Drosophila melanogaster: one gene and its partners. The protein of the gene in region 2 purifies or fractionates together with the protein of the main gene of each other region. This does not show direct contact. Each region holds a gene or a part of one and is shown on either strand. Other genes may lie near its edges. The genes, in order: Mcad, Atpalpha, Mec2 and Vha68-2.

Evidence for each region.
Region 1: the proteins of Atpalpha (region 2) and Mcad purify together in Drosophila melanogaster (affinity purification with mass spectrometry, with the first as the bait; one large-scale study listed by BioGRID). This does not show direct contact.
Region 3: the proteins of Atpalpha (region 2) and Mec2 purify together in Drosophila melanogaster (affinity purification with mass spectrometry, with the first as the bait; one large-scale study listed by BioGRID). This does not show direct contact.
Region 4: the proteins of Atpalpha (region 2) and Vha68-2 purify together in Drosophila melanogaster (affinity purification with mass spectrometry, with the first as the bait; one large-scale study listed by BioGRID). This does not show direct contact.

Annotation. Positions count from the first base shown.
Region 1 is NT_037436.4:7,717,709-7,721,985, reverse strand, and holds Mcad (Medium-chain acyl-CoA dehydrogenase), read right to left. Parts: upstream 2,637-4,277; 5' UTR 2,547-2,636; coding exon 2,529-2,546; intron 2,088-2,528; exon of another isoform or gene 1,927-2,087; coding exon 1,570-1,926; exon of another isoform or gene 1,510-1,569; coding exon 625-1,509; 3' UTR 514-624; downstream 1-513. Other genes in the region: CG7457 (uncharacterized protein), read left to right, coding at 1-88.
Region 2 is NT_033777.3:20,946,999-20,951,821, reverse strand, and holds the start of Atpalpha (Na pump alpha subunit), read right to left. Parts: upstream 3,043-4,823; 5' UTR 3,017-3,042; coding exon 2,993-3,016; intron 1-2,992. UniProt on the Drosophila melanogaster protein: This is the catalytic component of the active enzyme, which catalyzes the hydrolysis of ATP coupled with the exchange of sodium and potassium ions across the plasma membrane.
Region 3 is NC_004354.4:19,186,074-19,190,744, reverse strand, and holds Mec2 (Mec2), read right to left. Parts: upstream 2,711-4,671; 5' UTR 2,631-2,710; coding exon 2,462-2,630; intron 1,712-2,461; coding exon 1,198-1,711; intron 1,106-1,197; coding exon 940-1,105; intron 861-939; coding exon 657-860; 3' UTR 552-656; downstream 1-551. Other genes in the region: HP1D3csd (heterochromatin protein 1D3 chromoshadow domain), read right to left, coding at 1-469; CG33253 (uncharacterized protein), read right to left, coding at 3,972-4,211, 4,302-4,467, 4,539-4,671.
Region 4 is NT_033779.5:12,972,740-12,979,132, forward strand, and holds Vha68-2 (vacuolar H[+] ATPase 68 kDa subunit 2), read left to right. Parts: upstream 1-1,582; 5' UTR 1,583-1,704; intron 1,705-1,882; exon of another isoform or gene 1,883-2,007; intron 2,008-2,446; exon of another isoform or gene 2,447-2,484; intron 2,485-2,662; exon of another isoform or gene 2,663-2,730; intron 2,731-2,874; 5' UTR 2,875-2,897; coding exon 2,898-2,973; intron 2,974-3,386; coding exon 3,387-4,084; intron 4,085-4,192; coding exon 4,193-5,170; intron 5,171-5,237; coding exon 5,238-5,330; 3' UTR 5,331-5,868; downstream 5,869-6,393. Other genes in the region: Vha68-3 (vacuolar H[+] ATPase 68kD subunit 3), read left to right, coding at 6,161-6,393. UniProt on the Drosophila melanogaster protein: Catalytic subunit of the V1 complex of vacuolar(H+)-ATPase (V-ATPase), a multisubunit enzyme composed of a peripheral complex (V1) that hydrolyzes ATP and a membrane integral complex (V0) that translocates protons.

The DNA of each region.
Region 1 (4,277 bases), on a different chromosome or scaffold from region 2:
AATGTTGACCACATCAAATAGCCGGAAAATTGGAAGGCGGTACAAAGGTCTACTTAAGCTACTCGCTGATGGAAGCGATGCGGAATAGTGTAGTCTCATCATGTGTAAACCATTTCCTTGTGTTGTATGTCCCAGAGCATTTTTTATTGTTTGACAATTATATAGCAAATCTAAGTACAGTAAGTCTTATCGTTCAGTTGATAGCAGAACAGCGATTCGTTGAACCTAAGTAGAACAAACACTCAGCCCCCACAGGGCTTATCTTATCAATGGATGATAGCTAGCGAAATAATTTGCGATGGTCTAGACTCTACAATTTTGGGGGTAAGTGAGGGCAAGATTAGAGAAACTTGAAATATTAAGAATTAGTAAACATACTAACGCACTGACTGTTTGCTTACTTCTTCCTTCCTTTTATACACTTGAGGAATAAGTAATTCCTTAGAAATTACCAAGTGCCATTTATACAACATTTCCCTCAACAGACAAATCACAATCAATGATTTATATTTTCTTGTAATTATTTACTTATTGTACTTTATTAATCGGATTTGTGAATGTGTCTACAATGAGCATGACAACTGATGAGGTGAATGGAGATGAGGAATCCTAGTTAAAACTGACTTAGGCTTGACCCTTAGCAGCCTCGTACATGTTTCGGGAAATGATGAGGCGCTGGATCTGAGAAGTACCTTCGTAGATTTGGTAGATCTTGGCATCACGCATCAGCTTCTCCACGGGATACTCGCTGTTGAAGCCGTTGCCTCCAAAGATCTGGACGGCATCGGAGGCAATCTTGTTGGCCATATCGGCGGCATGGCACTTGGCAATGGAGGCATAGTAGCTGTTGCGGCGTCCCTGGTCGATTTCCCAGGCGGAGAGACGCCACGCCAGACGGGATGTCTCCACACCGATGGCCATATCAGCCAGCATGAACTGCACAGCCTGGTGGTAAGCGATGGGCACGCCAAAGGTCTTGCGTTCCAGCGCGTATTTAAGAGCCTCATCCAAGCAACGCTGGGCCAAACCCACAGCTCCGGCAGCAACTGGAGGACGCGTCTTATCAAAGGTGCCCATGGCAATTTTGAAACCGGCACCCTCGCCAATCAGCACATTTTCCTTGGGCACGCGCACATCCTCGAAGGTGATGCCACGCGTGTCGGAGGCGCGCTGTCCCATGTTCAACTCCTTGCGGCCGGGCGTTAGTCCGGGACTGTCGCGCTCCACAATGAACCCGGTGAAGGCCTTGCTGGGCGGGCACTTGGGATCCGGATTGGTGCGGGCCAGCACAAAGTACCAGTTCGCCACACCACCGTTGGTGATCCACATCTTCTGGCCGTTGATTACCCACTCATCACCCTTCTTCTCGGCGCGTGTCTTGATGCCGGACACATCGGATCCTGCTCCGGGCTCTGTAACACAATAGGCGGCGACAAGTGGCTCCTCCAGCAGGCGGCCCAGGTACTTTTTCTTCTGTTCCTTGTTACCGGACAGGATCACAGGAGTTTGCTATGAAAGAACGTGGCGTTTCGATCATCTTGCCGTAAATAGACATGACTTTAAACTTACGCCCAGACCACTAGCCTCTAAGGCGGTCATGATGCCAGTGCAGCCATAGGCCAACTCCTCGGCCGACAAGCAGGTGGTGAACACATCGAGATCCAGGCCACCAATATCAGCAGGAATGTGGTTGTTCATCAGGCCCAGTTCCCAGGCCTTCTTGATGATGGGCCACGGGTACTCGCCGCTCTTGTCGTACTGGGCGGCCACCGGGATGATCTCCTCACGGGTGAACTTACGTGCCAGTTCCTGCAGCTGCAGCTGATCCTCGGTGAGTGCGAAAGAGGTGCCATTGGGCGAAACGTGTGACACGGCGGCGTAGGCGCGACTTTGGGACACCAACTGGCGCAGGGCAGGCGCAGCAAGCTGGATTTTCGGATATTGGATATCGGATTTAAAGTCAACTGGTAAACAAGTGTTTATCGAAATGCAAAATGAAAATGTAGAAATAATCAGAACAACAACAAAGTTGACCGCGAATTAATCTTAACTACAAGCAACAAATAAAATGGGCCAACTACGTATGTATTTAATTAATACAACATCATGATCATAGACGAAGGTTTTTTTTATATTTACAAGGGACTTTGGATGTTTGAGGTTCATAACCAACCATCACATTCTATTTTTTTCATAAAACAGATAACGAATATGCCTGCCCATAAAGTTTGCATTCCGATTTAAATAGAGTGCACGATAAGCCGCCATTAGACGCCGCTAATAATACTTTCTCAGGGGGGGCAAAGTACAGATGATTGCTAACAGATAGGCAGCAACAAATTGTTTTCGAAACGGAACCCACTCGAATATATGTTTGTTGGTAGGTACATATGTATATGTATGTATGATCCTACGATCAACAGTTGCTGTCGTCACTAGCGTGATAGAACTTTGGACCTTTGGATATGATATGTCCCAGCGATGTGTTTTTCACTTTCTCTGCGTTGTAAATTGACTGATATGCTCACCTTGTTGAGGAACGCCATTTGAATGTGGGTTTATTTTCGTATTTTCCTGAGTTTTAACTAGGTCGCCTTGCTAACTCGTCGGTGGCTGCCAGCGAAATGATCCAAACGAGTTGCCGATGCGCCGGTATAGCGATGTTATATATGTACATACATATGTACATTGGTTCATCGCGATATGGCAGCGACGCTTGGACATTGGACCTTGTTGCGCTGGCAGTCGCAAAAGCTACAGAATCGTGGTGACGAACGAACTACAAGCATATGCACCTACAAATATATGCAGGAGGTTGAGATAAGGGAAGATTTCGCAGACATTTGTATGCGCTGTTGATGGAACTTTCCCAAAGCTTTTCGAAGAGTTAACAAATTTGTTTGTACCTCGCCTTAATTGTAATATAATGCTTATATAAATAAATTGTATTGTAAAATATTTTTAAAATACCAACTGTACATTTCATCCAGGTTTTGTCAAGTACATAGGCATATGTGTATGAAGAGACACACCCCCTTTTTTAAGATATCAATGTACCACACGAAATACCCTACGAAATAAGCTTAATAAAACATAGCTTTAACGTAATGCCCAGCAATCTACGTAAGGTAAAAGCTTTCAGTTCACAACGTAACGTATTGCTTCTGGGCAATAGGTATAAAATAATACAATCGGGTATATTAGGCTTGAAAATGTTCGTCGGCAGAGGTCATTGAGGGATAATTCATATTAAATAGTAATATACTATATTTTGGTTAGTTTAGAATAAAATGTAGAGACAATTAGATAATTATAGGTTTCATTCGCTTTAACTTTTTAACCCCATTTTTCCATATTCAAAACATTTAAAACATGATTTGATATGTTAAATAATAAAATAAGAACCAACAGGATAGTCCCTAGTCGTTAGACTTCGCTGCCACCTGTTAGGTGCTTAACAATCGGAGCATACTTTCCCGCTTGACACAAATAGACGGAACATGTTCCTCTGGCTGTTTTAAAAATAACAGATTGCAGCCCCGCCTCCCAGCGACAAAAAAATCTCCAGCGAAACGAATTGGAAATCCGTGACACAGTTGACAGGCAGATATAAAAAACAGAGCACTACGTGGCGCGGCACGAAGACATCATTAAATCAGCATCCGCAGCCATCCAAAGTCGTAATCAGCCGTTGAAGCGAGTGGTATCTCTTATCAGCCAGGCCAGGCGCATAAAACTGGGTCCGGTTAAAGCTCTTCCGCCACGACGAGGACGAACGCGCACAGCCGAGCTGGAGCCGAAGTGGTTCGGGTGGTGCGATGGCGGGTGGCGAGTCCTGTGGCGTCTAAGGCCCAACTGGGATAGCTGCTCCTAGTCAGTCATTTGACATTGCTCCTGCGAGAAGGTTGTCCACGGTCCGAGCCCAAATCCTCCGTCGCCCACAACTCGTCCGCAAGCCAGCCGTAGTGTGTGTTTTTTTGTGCTACCCACTCCCACTTTTGGGATACATATAAAAGTGCCACCCCCGCCTTCCCAAAAAAAAAAACCGCCTCATAGAGGAGTGAAATTTTAAACAAGTGTTACCTAAGCCCAAACCTCAAAGAAACCACAACAAAAAGGGAGCAGTAGTTGAAGGTTGCGGCAAAATGGCCCAGTTTGTGACCCACATCCAGCCAACGCTGATGGAGGCGTCCCAAGGTCATGTTCCTCACCACCACGGACATCAGGTGGGTGTGCAGCACTCGTCGCATCTGCCCCACAGCGGCCACAACATGCCC
Region 2 (4,823 bases):
GGCGAACAGGAACAATTGAGCCATTGTTGAGCTCCGGCTCAGCTACTTCAGGTAGCTGGACAATAAACTACCCCTTCGGAACTAAGCCACCCCTGAAGGGTAATGATCGATGGACCTTGAGAGACCTACAAGCTGGAGACCAACTCGAAAACAAACGAAAACGAAAATAAATCAACGTACCGCTCTAGAACTTAATCTACAAGTGTTGGTCGAGCGAGTGTTATCTGATAAGCAGACGAAAGGTAAATATAGCGCAAAGGCACAGATACAGATACCGATACCTGGGAAACTGGAGGCCCAGACCCCTAATAGCGGGTTATGCAATCGTTAGTAATTAAGACCCTACCCATTGACGCAAACTGGGCATGTGCCAAATATCACACCGCAGCGAAACAAATCGAAGTCCTTGTCGAATGCAATCTGTGTGCTGGATGTGACAGCAAACAGTCAATGGGCGAGGTGATAATTTCCACATCTTGCGATTATGGCCGCCAATTGATGATGCCCACATAGCGTAGATGGCTTTTTCCAACAAGATCTATTCAAACGGTTTGCCATTGTCAGTTGATTAGATTTTTATTGGCGCGTAATTGAATTAAAACGGCCAATATTGTTTTGCTGCCACGCTTTGATTGCCGAAAGCAAGTCACCACCTCTGTCGGACGGTTTTCTGGTATTTTCCAGTTGTAATTATTATCACTGTCGCTTTTACTGCCATCGGCAATCTGTTAAGTAGTTAACGCGAACCTAAAATCTCCGAGCCGGGTAAAACTGGTCAAAAAGGGAAGGGGCCCGTCTATTCGGGTGCACAAAATATCTGGTTAATATATAGTATAGGTGTGTGTACTACATGTCAACGCTGATAACTGCTGATAGTATTCAAATCCTGGGTGTTAGCATTTAGAACCTGCCATTACCACGTTGGAAGCACATTATTCAGCTTATTTGCCGTCCTCTCCATAAACTCTTAATTGCTTTATCTGCATTTTTCGACTGATAAACGGGTAGATGCATACATACATACATATACCAACTAGTTCTCGTTTTGGCTGGCCCTTAATTCCAAATCATTTACTTATGGAACGCACATTGAGAGGAAGGGAACTTCATTATCGCGTTCTTAGAGCATCGTCAGATTGTAGTTTCATGATTTTTGATGTGCTTTCTTAAATTGACTTCAATTGAAAGCGCATGAGTCAGCATACAAAACGAAGCCACAACGCTGGTGGGGGGATGTGAGATATACTCGTACATAACTCAGCTTTACGCGGATTTGTGCGTGAAATCATAATAGAATTTCCACTGAGCACACTGGGTTAAGATATAAGATGTCGTAGTCCGGCAGATTGAATTATAATAATTATGCAACGTTGTATTCTACACCAACAATATTATCATCAGAATTTGCCCTTGAAAATCCGTTGGGAAATGCGTCATATTTTATAAAATTAATTGTATGAAACCCAACCCAATAAACCCAACCACAAATGTTTTTAAACTTAAAATAATTTGCGTAACTTATTTTGATTCTTAAAATATGCATACCACTACAATACTAATAAAGACGTAATTTTGGAATTACATACTTAATTTTATAACAATACAAATATGCACAATATAATATATATTATAATAATTATATAATAATATCTAAATATATTCTACAAGACACTTTCAAGTCTAAGTGAGGTCTTAAGCGTTCTTTTCAAGTTTTCCCGTTACAAATAATATCTGGACCCACTGTTTGTTGCGAGTGGATTCAGACCGCTTGCTCTATAGTTTTGCATACTTTCGGGCCGTCGAACCAGTATGTGTGTGGGTGCGTGCGTGTGTGTGACCTGCCCTTAGACAAGCCCCAAAATCAATAGAGCTGGCAATACGGACTTAGAATTGGTGGTCTAGCCCTAGGAACAGAACCGAAAGCCCGGGTGGAAACAACAACCCTGGCGAAGAACTCATTACCTTCTGCGGGGTAATTAAGTGGCGTCATCGGTGGGGCATTTAGTAACTAATCGAATGGTGAGGGGGTAGGGAAGGGAAAGTAAGGGCTACGTACTGAGAAAAAAGTACGGTAAGAAGTACGTCGATTTACGCTAATGTGCCAGTGTGTGTAATTAGCAGCGCACTACTCGGCCCAATGACACCAATTCCGGAAGGAGGGAAAGCACGGAAAATGGAAAAATAAACGTGTTATGCAGGGTAGTTTCGTTCTAGAGCTCGAGATTCCAATAATGAAATCTGCGAGATGCGGCGGAATGGGGCGTGGTTCGGGAGGGGCGGCAGCAGTACCGGTTATGTAAGCCGAAAACTGGAAGATTTCCAAGCACGGAAAAGCGAAAAGCTTTCGCGCCGGGAAAGTGGAAAATTTGGGAAACTGGTCGGCCTGGAAATGCAAATTGCGCATGCCAGCTAAGCGCACCTGGAAAGCGAGAGAGAGAGAGACAGAGAGGCAGAGAGAGAGAGAGAGAGCAAGAGAAAGGGAGAGCGAATACAAATTCGAGAAAAAAGTCAAAAGCCAGGCTCTAAGCCCAGGCTATTTTTACAGATCAGCAGGTAAGCGGATATAGGCCCATCCAGATCCAATAGGATTAGTAACTGCGCCCCGTTTCACATTCGATTCCGTTTGCAGTTACCGAAAGCCCGCAAACAAATTAGTAAACTTCGTTGGGCGTCGCCTCGGCTTTGTTGTTGTTGTCGTTGCTTCTCGCTTTTTCACCAGCAACAAAACAAATAGTAGTAGCAGCAGCAGCAGCAAGAACAACACCAAAAGCAATGTACACAACACAGATACACGCACACACCCACACAGCGCACTCGGGCTTCGATTTTTCCCACTAAAAACAACGCCCGCTCAGCGTATCACTTGGCCAATTTGTTTTGGCCCTGGTTCTTTTTGGTTCCCTCGTCATGGTCTAACAACAGTTTAAACTTAACCATTTTCTCACTTAACTAACTTAGTTTTCATCGTAATCCAGGCTTTATTTTTGCTCACCTCGTAATCCGACCTTAACGCCATGTTATTTTAATTTAACTCGATTATTCCCAGGGATGTGGAAAATTTACACAATTCCAACGTATCGATATTTTAGAAGTCGTGACTACCAAATGGAGAGTTATCGGCCTATTGTATCGAATAAGCCGGTGTAGAAATCGGGATGGCAATCGGTTAAGAAAATGTAATTGTAAATATTGCATTATGAATAAAATTACTATTATAATTTGTCAATAGTCCGAACAGTCTGGTTTATTTAAAATGAAAAGTTAAGTATTTTAAATATACCTGGATATTTATTTACCGAAAGTTGTTACTATGCTACCTTCAAATATTAATATCTGGATATGTTTGGATTTCAATACTCTCATTAATAATTGCTAATTTAAAATACCAAGTTAAAAATATGTTTAATTTTTCACCTCAATTTGGAAATAACATACTTTTATGTACTTTTTATATCAACTGCAAGCGTGAAAATTACTGGAGCTGCCAGATTAAAATATACACACTACGATAGTTGCCATCTTGAATATTTACAGATATGGAGAGTTGCCAACGTTATAGTTATGTGTATTCAATTTCAAGAGATAATAAAATACCAAATACAATACGCGCGTCTTCTTGCATTCCAAACATAGGTGGCGCTGTATAAGCAAAATAATTTTAAGTGGCAGATAGAACGAAGTGTAGATGGCGTTCGTTAAACGTATAAATTAGCTACTCTCCAAGAAATGTTCAACTGGACTTGAATCTTCTCAAATTTATTTCCTATGTTCAGTATTGATCGTTGATCATTGTTGCGATGAATGGCTTCAAACGGGCCAGAGATTCTCGAAGGCTCAGCAATTCGACGATCCTGTGGGGAAAAACGCATCTTGGAGATTATAAGTTCAGCTTACTTAAACTAATTAAATTATACTTAAATTTCAAGATACACCTGATACCCCTCGTCATCATTATCCAGCAACTTATCATTGGAAGCACCAACTGAAGGTTCGCCCGAAACCAACAGACCGCGTAATTGATTATAATTAAATTATGAATTTAATTGAGAACACTATTGATAAGTACGAGTCACGATGTGGAACTCAAGACGAAGATCTTCCAATTTGTCAGTGTAATGGAGCTATAAACATAACAATCCTCCAAACGACCAGGCATTTGGAAAACTTATCTCCGTCCGCACAAGATCTCATTTTATCATCCGAAATGCTGACCTCCACTTGGTCGAAGCTGAATTTATCGCAACTCTAAACCCCAAATATAATCAGGATAATTAGATGTCTCAAGTCATTTTGTTCTTGAAGGCTAGCATGTTCTATCTAAGTTAGCTTCCCAGCAAAATGGCATCTAAATTTCTACAGATTCATTCAATTGATCAATTCGGTGACCAATTACAAGGAAATGCCAAATTTGCACACTCTTACAAAGAGCACAGTTTGCACGGTTTCATTTGCCCTTACCTTCTCCGGAAGCTTCAATTGGTTTATCCGGTTAATTAATATTTTGAAATCAATTGTTGTCGACACGAGCACAAACAAGGAAGCAGCTCCAAAGGGGCTGCGGTTGCTTAGGCGAAACGACTTTTCGCTCAGCTGCAGAGCAACCCACTTTCCACTTTGCCCATCCTTTTGCCCGCCCTCTCATCCTGCGGCCCCGTCAATCGATTCAATATCCCATGGCCATTAGAAGGAAGCCGGCTCGACTACAAAATTGAGCCCACATAAGCTGAGGGGAAATCGCCTTGTTGCCACTGCCACTGTCTTCGGGTTTGGCTTTCGCTTTTGCTTTTGCTTTGGCATTGGCTTTGGCTCAAATAACCTGAAAG
Region 3 (4,671 bases), on a different chromosome or scaffold from region 2:
CAGGCACGGCTTCCCCCCACTTGGATCCCTTCCAGGTGACAATGAAGTAGACCGTGTCACCAAGCATATAGCTGTACATAACATTCTCAATTGCTTTGCCGCGGACCAGGAGCGCATCCGTAGGCGGCACGTTCAACGGTTGGGACTCATTGGAATTGCCGCCATCGAGATTCCCTGACACGCTGCCACCGTTGGTTGCATCCAGTTCTGCCTGTTGTACCAACAACTCGACGAGCAGCCGAGCCAGCTCTGCCCGAGCCGAATTGTGAACTCCCATGTGCTTTGGAGGCGGCGTCGAACCGGCCTCCTTGGATTCATCCTTTGTCGGCTCTTCCTGCACTTCCTCCTGCTGATCGTTCTCCTTCTGCTGATCGTTCTCCTTCTGCTGATCGTTCTCCTTCTGCTTTTCCTCCTCCGCGGGGAAACCACCTGTGTTCTTGTTGTTGGGGCTGTTTTCTTTGTCCGCCATCGTTTAGCAATAAAGTTCTCTTGCAAAAGTAAACCAAATGAATTCACGTGCAATCGTTAAATGAAAAATGGCGGCAAGTTTCCGATTGCTGAAGCTGCCAGCTAGTGCGAATTGCATTTATTAAAAAAAAAAAAAAAATGAATAAGACATTAATATTTTCAAACTCTGGCAACGCCCTAGATTCAAATCATAGGTTGGTTTTCGGCCAAGCGTCCAGTGCGTCTAAAACTATGTTATCTGACTTTTCTGGCGATTGCTTAAGTTCCGGTGGCGGGCCCATCAAGTGGGCATATTTGGCCAGATACGGAGTAAGCAGCTCCATGGGCAGAGGAAAGATAATGGTGGAGTTCTTCTCGGCGGAGATGCTGCTCAGGGTTTGCAAGTAGCGCAGCTGTGATGACAGAAAAATTCGAATGGCTGGTAATCCGTGCTCAACGATTGATTTCAGCTTTTACTAGGACAACACCCACCTGCAAGGCCGATGGACTGGCGGAAATGACATCGGATGCCTCCTTGAGCGCTGTGGCGGACTTCTTCTCACCCTCGGCGGCGATCACCTTGGCACGAGCATCACGAGCTGCCTCCGCTTCGGCGGCCATGGCACGCTGCATGGAAACGGGCAGGGAGACATCCTTGCTGTCAGCGGGTGAAGTGCATACAACGTACAGATGTTAAGAAATACTGATCTGATCTGATGGATGTCAAATGCCTACTAAATGGCTACTTACATCTCAACGCGCTCCACCATGACGCCCCACGGCTCGGTGGCCTCGTCCAACGTGGCCTGCATATTGTGGGCCAGGGTTTCGCGCTCGGTTAGCAGTTCGGACAGGTTGCGAGTGCCGACGATATTTCGGAGCGTGGTGGCCGCCAGGAGGCGAGTGGACATGCTGTAGTCCTCGACCTGGATGACCGCATAAAGGGGATCACTGATGCGATAGTAGACAACGGCGTCCACAGTGACCGTCACGGAATCCTTCGTCAGCATCTCCTGCTGCGGCACATTGAAGGTAACCGTGCGCAGGTCCACCTTGCGGTACTCATCGATGCACGGCAGGATGAAGAACATGCCGGGACCACGAGCTCCGCCGCTCAGTCTGCCCAGCCGGAAGATGATCGCCCGCTCGTACTCCGCCACCACCTTGAAGCATATGAAGATGGCGATGGGCGATGTGATGATGAAGATCAGCACGGAGAACAGGGTGACCACCCATTCCATGCAGCCCTTGGGCTCGTTCTCCGCTGCAATGGGATGTTAGGAATATGAATATGAAATATTCATCTACAAAATGGCCATATTTCAGGCATATGTGTACAATAATTGTGCCGCAAGAGAAACGTAGATAAGTCCACTTCAATTCGATGGCCAAGATGAAGTACCTTCTTTGTCCGGATTCCGAAGAGACCAACTTATTATTAAGTAAAACAGGACTATGATGGACTATGTAACAACTTGAAAAAGAGAAAGCTGTGAAAAGCAATAGCCATCACAATCAAAAAAAAGAAAACACGGATAAACACCAATCAGCCCGCTTATCTTGGAGTCCAATAAAAATTCCTACGATTAAAAATATAGACAGGTGTAATATATATGCGCCAATACAATTAGAATGTTGTAGCAATTGACGATTATGTGGGATTACGATGGAAATCAAATTGCTACTAGTACTACTTTGATAAAGCGAGAGATAGTTTGTATTTTTAGAACTCCTATCTAGTGAATACTATTAACCGAATCAAGCGGTTTTGCATGTCTGAAATATTGTAGAATGCTTTGAGCCAAAAACAAACTTTTCACGCGATCAAAATGCTGTTGCAATCTTATCTGAACCAGCGATTCCAAGAAATCGTATCTCAATCGATCTAAAGTGATTAGCGCTTGACAGTAAGCAAAGACTTGTTTTTTTTTAACAATAATAATTCTCCTAATATTGGCCGGGATGGGTCATCATCTTGCTGCATCTATAGTATACACCGTTTCCGCCCGCTTACAAGTTTTGAATCCACGATACTGCTGCGTGGTGCCGGGCACTCGAAGTGCCGGCTCGGGTGCCATGCCGGCGGCGCCCATGTTGACCATGTACGCCGTGGAGCTGGCCGGCCCAGAGTTGCGCATATCTTCGTAGTTGGCGTACACGGGCGAATCCTGGTGCGGCTCCATTGCTGTTTCTCTGCTCCGTTCTGGCCTACGTTCGTTGCTCTCCGATCGGCTATGGATTCGAAACTGTCGCCAGCGGTCAGCGCCGCAAAAGCCAAACTGAATGCCCAAAAGCGTTCTCACGTGATAAGAGCGCACTGGTTCTCTCAGATACGAAGTATCGCATTGGCATTATCGCTACGCTGAGCTGCCGAGCGGCTTAAATGCGATTCAACAGTGAGAGAAAAGAAGCACTGCACTGAAACACCACGAACCAAGTGTGCCGCCACTGAAAGAGGCGATCTCTAGTCCGTACATCCTCCACAGCAATTGAGCACATGCCATATAAGAGAATGTAATGGAATGGAATGTAAATGCATCGGCTCGTAAATTTTCGTTCAGTGTAGTGTATCTACGACCGGGGAAACACCAAGAGCCGCTCTGTAAGTCGAGAGCCATGGGTCACCACGGATGATTCACTGCACTGCGCCGAAAGAATTGCCAACTGGAGGCGTACACTTTCAGATTATTCCGACCGACGATCAATGAAAGCCGAGTAAGCTCTATCTGGCCCAAGTGCGTTTAGCACTTTAATCAATCGGTTATCTCAGCTGGAGCATTGAGACGCAGTTCTGCTTTGGGGTCACGGGTCATTGGCTGGAGCCACCCGATGGTGACTCAATTCTGATCTGGCGGTCACATTAGCACTGAAGAGCTTATCTGCCACACTCGCTGAAGTGGCATGCAAATCTGAGTTATTTAGATAAGCGAAGAGCAAATATGTACATACATATATATATATCATATATAAATGTAAATTTTGTTGTTTCGAAAAAGGGGGAAGAACTGAAAAAAAAAATGTGTTTTCTGAATCATTTGGTTTATTTAAATGGTTAGCTTTTACCCTGGTTTGTAGTTAGCTATTGTTATTAATTCTTAAGATACAAACAAATAATATTGGTTATTTTAAATATAACGTCTCTACTTAAAACGACTGTGAATGAAGAAGGAAAAGCCTTGGAAAAGCCTCAGTTACTATTGCATACTAAATTCGACATATTAGAATAAATTCTAAAAAAAAAAAATTTATTTTTAAGTCCGAACCATGTTTGAATCTCTCCAGAATCTAGGGAATTCCATGGCACTTTCATTCGAATTCATTGGTGACTCATTTTCCGGATTTTCCGGACAGTTCCGCTTTCTGTCGCTGCTGCCGCCGTTCCACTAGAGCAAGAAACCCACGATGTCGTCATCGTCATCCGCCGCTCCCGCTGCAGCCGCTCCGCTTCGCTGTTGCTTCTGCTGACGCTGCAGCTCGCAGCGATGCAGTGCCTCCAGATATGGTTGCAGCACCGACATCGAGCGTCACTGGTGGTGTTGGTGCGGGTGTCGATGGAGTGGCGTGCCAGGAGCCGCAGGATGTTGTTGTTGTTGGTGCTGATGCTGCTGCTGTTGCTGTTGCAGCTGCTGCTGGTGTTGCAGTTGCAGCTGCTGCGAGTGTGCTTGGGTATTCAGGAAGGGCGTGAGCAGCTCCATGGGCAGCGGGAAGATGATGGTCGAATTCTTCTCGGTTGAAATGCTGCTCAGTGTTTGCAAGTATCGCAACTAAGTAGAGAAGAAGATGGAACGAATGAAACCATTTGGGCCAGTTCCAAATGTCCGATGGTTGGATTCAGATGGAAGAAGATGACTCACCTGCAGGGCGGATGGACTGGCCGAGATGATCTCGGAAGCCTCGCGCAGAGCCCTCGACGACTTCATCTCGCCCTCGGCGGCAATGACCTTGGCCCGCGCCTCCCTCGCTGCCTCCGCCTCGGCGGCCATCGCCCGCTGGAGGGCAGTTGGCAAGGATACGTCCTTGCTGCAAGCGGATCATGGATAGAGTGGATCATGTCATGATCACATCACGACTTTCGGCAGTTGGCTACTCACATCTCCACGCGCTCCACCTTAACGCCCCAGGGATCGGTGGCCTCGTCCAGGGACATCTGCATGGTGTGCGAGATGGTCTCGCGTTCGGTCAGCAGCTCGGACAGATTCCTGGTGCCGAGCACATTGCGCAGCG
Region 4 (6,393 bases), on a different chromosome or scaffold from region 2:
TTGACACCGAATCAGAATCCGAAACACTCAGTCACTCAATCACTCACACACACACACTCTCACACACATACGCATACATCTGCAGTGAGGGGAATCCCCGTTCACAGGGCTGATAGAAATTTGCAATGAATCGCAGGCAGATCCTCATGCCACATGCACTGCTGCCTTATTATGCAAATGCTGCGACTCGAGATGCGCTCTCGCTGCCTGCCAACGTCATCGATTTATAAGTTATGCAAAGAGCGGGAGCCAGAACTCACACACCTACCCTCTGCCCCTGGCGTGTCCTTCGTATCCTTCGCATCTCGGGAACATAGAGGCTTTCGCTGTTCGACTTCTATGTTAGCATGGCTTTGCGTTGTAGTTGCCACTTTTGCTGACTGCAATCCGAAAATTTAGCTAAATCAAGCTGAGTGCAGCGACACTGAAAAAAAAACTAGCATGGACTCAAGAACTAAAATATTTAAATGAGGTTTTCTAGCCATATTATGATTTAAAAGAAGTACAATTATGTTGTTACACTCACATGTAAAATATCTAAGATAATAATATAATAAAAAACAAATTAAATGGTTAAGTTATATAAACATTAAACTTCTTATAAACATATAGTTTGGTTATGCGAATTTCTCAATATTTTCAATTAGCACATTCGTTTTCCTCTTTAAATAAGGAGAATCCACTTAAAGAAATCTGATAATCGCTGCATATTGTGCTATTTATTTTATGTTAAAAAAGTATATTCGCAAGAGCATAAAAACAATCTGATCGGGTTAATCTTAACTTTTTCGCTGCTCCATTCTCATTGATTACTACAGCACAAAAAAAAAGTGGGGAAAGCGTGGAATCCTAACTAGAAGAACGGAAGATAGAATAATGGATAAAAAACAAAGGGGCAGGGCAGCAAAAACTTAAATCATTGGCAAATACCTTTTTACGATGCGGATTTTAATCAAAGTTTTTGCCACCGCTGTCAGTTTCTTTTTTTTACTTAAAATGGTAATAAAAAAAAAAGGGGAAACGACGATAAATAAACATTTTAAAATAATTGCTAACGGCGTGTTGTTGCGCTTTAGTGAACTTATTAGTCTACCCTCGCACCGGCCAATTTCCACAATTGATTAGTTTAAAATTGCATTTTTTGGACATTTAAATGGGAATCTAATTGATTGCCATTTTTATTGAGAGCACTTAACACTATACAATGGCAGGTTTTGTATTTAAGCTATATATTCCTCGTTTATACAGTGTCAAATTAATTATTGATTTTATAAGCAGCTAAGAAAATGATTGTTTAATTTGGACCGATTGATCATCGAGGACTTAAAATGGACTTAAAATAATTGGATATTAGCAACTTTGAAAAGATCCCGTTTACTCCCAAAACTTCAGAATCAACCCACGAACTTCTTTAAGCCAGTGTGACCCCACCCGCTCTTTAGCTCTCTTTCGCTCCATCTCGCTTCCGCACATCGATTGGCGAAAGCTTCGCTCGCACTCGATATCAGCTCACAACTTCGCTTGCAAGCTCGCCGCGGAAAGCTCGCGATCACACGGGTCGAAATCGAAATCGAATCGCGGTAGAGAGCTTTTCGAAGTGCGAGCGTCGACGTTTTATTTCTGCGGCTCAGTCGGTTTTAGTTCGTTCTGTTGGAGAAAAGCAGCAATCACACGTTCGCAAGGTGAACGCGAAGACACAGCAAAGTAAGCCCTTCCCCCCCACCAACACACACACCCACCCAAAGCAAATAAGTAACAATAAATAATGGAATGGCTGGAAGACGGTTCTGGGCGATTTAAACAATTAGCGAAAGAAAGCGGCATTGAAATCCGTCTTGAATTCGCCCCGAAAAAGTGACGAAGCAGCGATCAAAGCGCAGAGCGAAAACACGCACACAGACTGCAAGTGTGTTAGATAATAAGTGCAGCACAAGTCCACACTTGAGTAAAATAATCCCTAAAAAAGCCGAATATCAATTAGTTTTCCAAGGAGCTTGAAAAAGTGCGGTATGAAAACGTGAAAATTTGCGCGTGGAAAATTATTTTGCCTTGTCAGCTGACCCCCTTCCCCGTGTTCGCTCCATCCCTGTCGCACCGCGGGTCTTGTGATCGCCGCCGCTCTTGCGCTCGCTTGCTCTCCCATTTCGAAACTCGAAACAGAAGTGGGAGTTATTCGTATTCCGATAATGAAAAACCAATATGGAGAACGAGCGACGTAAAAAAGGCGGCCCAAAGATTTTTACCATTTCCCTTACCCACTTTTTTTTCATTTGTCAGCTGACGGCAATGACAGTAGTCTTGTGATCAACGTCAAAAGCAATTGTCAAATATTCGAACTCGAATGGAGAGCGAGAGAGCCAGAGCGGAGAGTTGCTCTCCCACTCCACCCTCTCTTGTTTTTCTTTGCTGATAATTATGAAAACCCGCATATTTTGAAAAACATGCATTTCAGTTACATTCCTCCGTTGAATTTGTCAACCTGTGGTTGTTTTTTCACAGCTCTTATTTTATTTATTTAGCGATTAGTTTGACAAATTGCTCTCTTCGAACTTTCAAAGCTCTGTCACGTGAAACGAAAGCTCTGCTTTTAAAGTTTTACGCAGCATAATCAAAGAGGGGGAGTTAAAAAAAAAATAATTAAATCAATCGAAATTATTAGCTGCTAACCTACAACTTTATAACCTATAATCGAAAAATTTGGGAGCTGTGGGCTCTACAAAAACTTAACCTGTAAATGTAGCAGATACACCTGCCCCTTGTCAGCTGACAGAGGGCTGAGCAAGAAATTAGTGATAAGAAAATGTTCACCTTTATCTTCGCCCTTTTGCAGCCAGCATTTAACAATTTTCCTCTTCTATTTTCCCTCCATTGCAGTCGAAAAAACAGAATAAAGCAAAATGTCCAACCTTAAGCGTTTCGATGATGAGGAGCGTGAGTCCAAATATGGACGTGTCTTCGCTGTCTCCGGTCCTGGTAAGCACCTAACTATACTGACTAACCATAACTCATGCTATCTAAAAGTTAATAAAAATAAGTTAATAATACCTGTGAACTGGAAACCTTACTTTGATGATTAGTCTAGAACTTACACTTCTGTGTGAAATAATGGCAACTTTAGAAATGTGTCCACCTATTTGTGATTAATATTCAAACAACTCAAACATTTTGGTTTCATTATTCAAAATTAAATGTGAATAATTTTAATAATTAATTAATTGTTTCTTTAAACTTTTTTCTATAATTCTAACAAAAACATCATCAAGTATCATTAATAATAAAAAATTTTAAAAGAAAATGTTCAATGGAACCTATCTTCGTTTGCTGAGTTATAAAAACTTCTTGAATGAAATGTAGCCCCCCTAACCCGACCAACCGCTTCATTCCAGTCGTCACCGCCGAGGCCATGTCTGGATCAGCTATGTACGAGTTGGTCCGCGTCGGCTACTACGAGCTGGTGGGCGAGATCATCCGTCTGGAGGGTGACATGGCCACCATCCAGGTGTACGAGGAGACCTCTGGCGTAACTGTCGGAGATCCGGTGCTGCGTACCGGCAAGCCTCTTTCCGTGGAGCTGGGACCCGGTATCATGGGCAGCATCTTTGACGGTATCCAGCGTCCCCTGAAGGACATTAACGAGCTGACCGAATCCATCTACATCCCCAAGGGTGTGAACGTGCCCAGTTTGTCCCGCGTGGCCAGCTGGGAGTTCAACCCCCTGAACGTCAAGGTCGGCTCCCACATCACCGGAGGTGACCTGTACGGTCTGGTGCATGAGAACACTCTGGTCAAGCACAAGATGATTGTGAACCCCCGCGCCAAGGGAACAGTGCGCTACATCGCCCCCTCCGGCAACTACAAGGTCGACGATGTCGTCCTGGAGACCGAGTTCGATGGAGAGATCACCAAGCACACCATGTTGCAGGTGTGGCCAGTGCGTCAGCCACGTCCCGTGACCGAGAAGCTGCCCGCCAACCACCCCCTGCTCACCGGACAGCGTGTGCTCGACTCGCTCTTCCCCTGTGTCCAGGGCGGTACCACCGCCATTCCCGGAGCTTTCGGTTGCGGCAAGACTGTGATCTCGCAGGTGAGAGTCCCACAAATTGAGAATTTAAGGAGCGATGCCTCGTGTAGCCTCCATACACTCAAGTTTCATAAAAATACAATCCCTAATAAATCATTTACTTGCTTGCAGGCTCTGTCCAAGTACTCCAACTCCGATGTCATCATCTACGTCGGTTGCGGTGAGCGTGGTAACGAGATGTCTGAGGTACTGCGTGACTTCCCCGAGCTGTCCGTGGAGATCGACGGTGTCACCGAGTCCATCATGAAGCGTACCGCCCTTGTGGCCAACACCTCCAACATGCCTGTGGCTGCTCGTGAGGCCTCCATCTACACTGGTATCACCTTGTCCGAATACTTCCGTGATATGGGTTACAACGTGTCCATGATGGCTGATTCCACCTCCCGTTGGGCTGAGGCTCTTCGTGAAATTTCTGGTCGTCTCGCTGAGATGCCTGCCGATTCCGGCTACCCAGCCTACTTGGGAGCCCGTCTGGCCTCCTTCTACGAGCGTGCCGGTCGCGTTAAGTGCTTGGGTAACCCCGAGCGCGAGGGATCCGTGTCCATTGTCGGAGCTGTGTCTCCTCCTGGTGGTGACTTCTCCGATCCCGTGACCTCCGCCACTCTGGGTATCGTGCAGGTGTTCTGGGGTCTCGACAAGAAGTTGGCCCAGCGCAAGCACTTCCCCTCGATCAACTGGCTCATCTCCTACTCGAAGTACATGCGTGCTCTGGATGACTTCTATGACAAGAACTTCCCCGAATTCGTGCCGCTGCGTACCAAGGTCAAGGAGATCCTGCAGGAGGAGGAGGATCTGTCTGAGATCGTGCAACTGGTCGGCAAGGCCTCTCTGGCCGAAACCGACAAGATCACGCTGGAGGTGGCCAAGCTGCTGAAGGACGATTTCCTGCAGCAGAACTCCTACTCCTCGTACGATCGCTTCTGCCCCTTCTACAAGACCGTGGGCATGTTGAGGAACATCATCGACTTCTACGACATGGCCCGTCACTCCGTGGAGTCTACGGCTCAGTCTGAGAACAAGATCACCTGGAACGTGATTCGTGAGGCAATGGGCAACATTATGTACCAGCTGTCATCCATGAAGTTCAAGGTGGGTTAACACGCAAATTTATCCATTGCCTAGACACTGGGTGACCACATTTTTCAATCCATTTCAGGACCCCGTTAAGGATGGTGAGGCCAAGATCAAGGCTGACTTCGAGCAGCTGCACGAGGACCTGCAGCAGGCCTTCAGAAATCTGGAGGACTAGAGACCGCGCTGGCCCTACTTTTACACTCTAATCTTATATTTGTTATATAGTTAACGTTTAAAAATGAAAGCAGTCAAAAACCATCCGAAAAAGCCTAATCAAACACCAACAATTCCGTGCTGCATTCGATGAAAAACAAAAGTCCAACAAATACCACAACTTCTTGGTGCCTGCGAGAGATGTAAACATTCCGGCCTGCGGTTAATACTTTCCCCTAACCACGCCCCCTCCGCCCCTTGAAGGGCAACTCTAGGCAACAGCAACTACAACGTCCTGCTATGTACTTCCATTTACAACAACAACACCAACATACACTTGAATAAAAGTACACGGACACTGGCGCACACACAACACATACATAAAAGACACAAATACAAATGCATGCATAAATAGTATTATTGTTTAATGAATGGAAATTCTTGTTTATTTGTGAAAAAAGTCATGTTTTCTCCCTGTTTGTTTGTTAAATTTATGTAAATATTTAAAGTATGAAATATTAAATGTACGAATAAAGTGCAACAACAAATACATTTAATGTAATTGAAAGTGAATTTCACTGGCAGCAGAATGGATATTAAAAATGTGTCAACTCGATAAAAAGATAATAAGTTAAAATATTTTTTTGAATTTTAAACCTTCATTATATAAACATACTTGACTATATGAAAGCTAAGAAAATGGGAATATATTGAAAAGCATAATCTAAAATCCTATATCATTCTCAGTCATCACCTTAGTCTTTCCATAAACTTCTGCCCCATTTATTTTATTTATTTGACAATATTAGTAAAAATTGTACCAAGTGAAAAAATTGTATATATTTAAACCAAATGGAAAAGAAGTCCTGGGTTGCACCGCTTACCTCGTTCACCAACAGTAACGCAAGTAACGAAGACAGAGCCCGCAACTCGGGATCGTTAAACCAAGATGGGGAGCCAAGGTCCGTGCCTCACCCAACGGTTCCGGCTAAGAAGTGCACATGTCCAACCTGCGCTTGCCAACGTAATGACCATAAATCCAATCCGGTACCCCCTCCCCCTCAATCACGCAAGCCTGTAGCCGA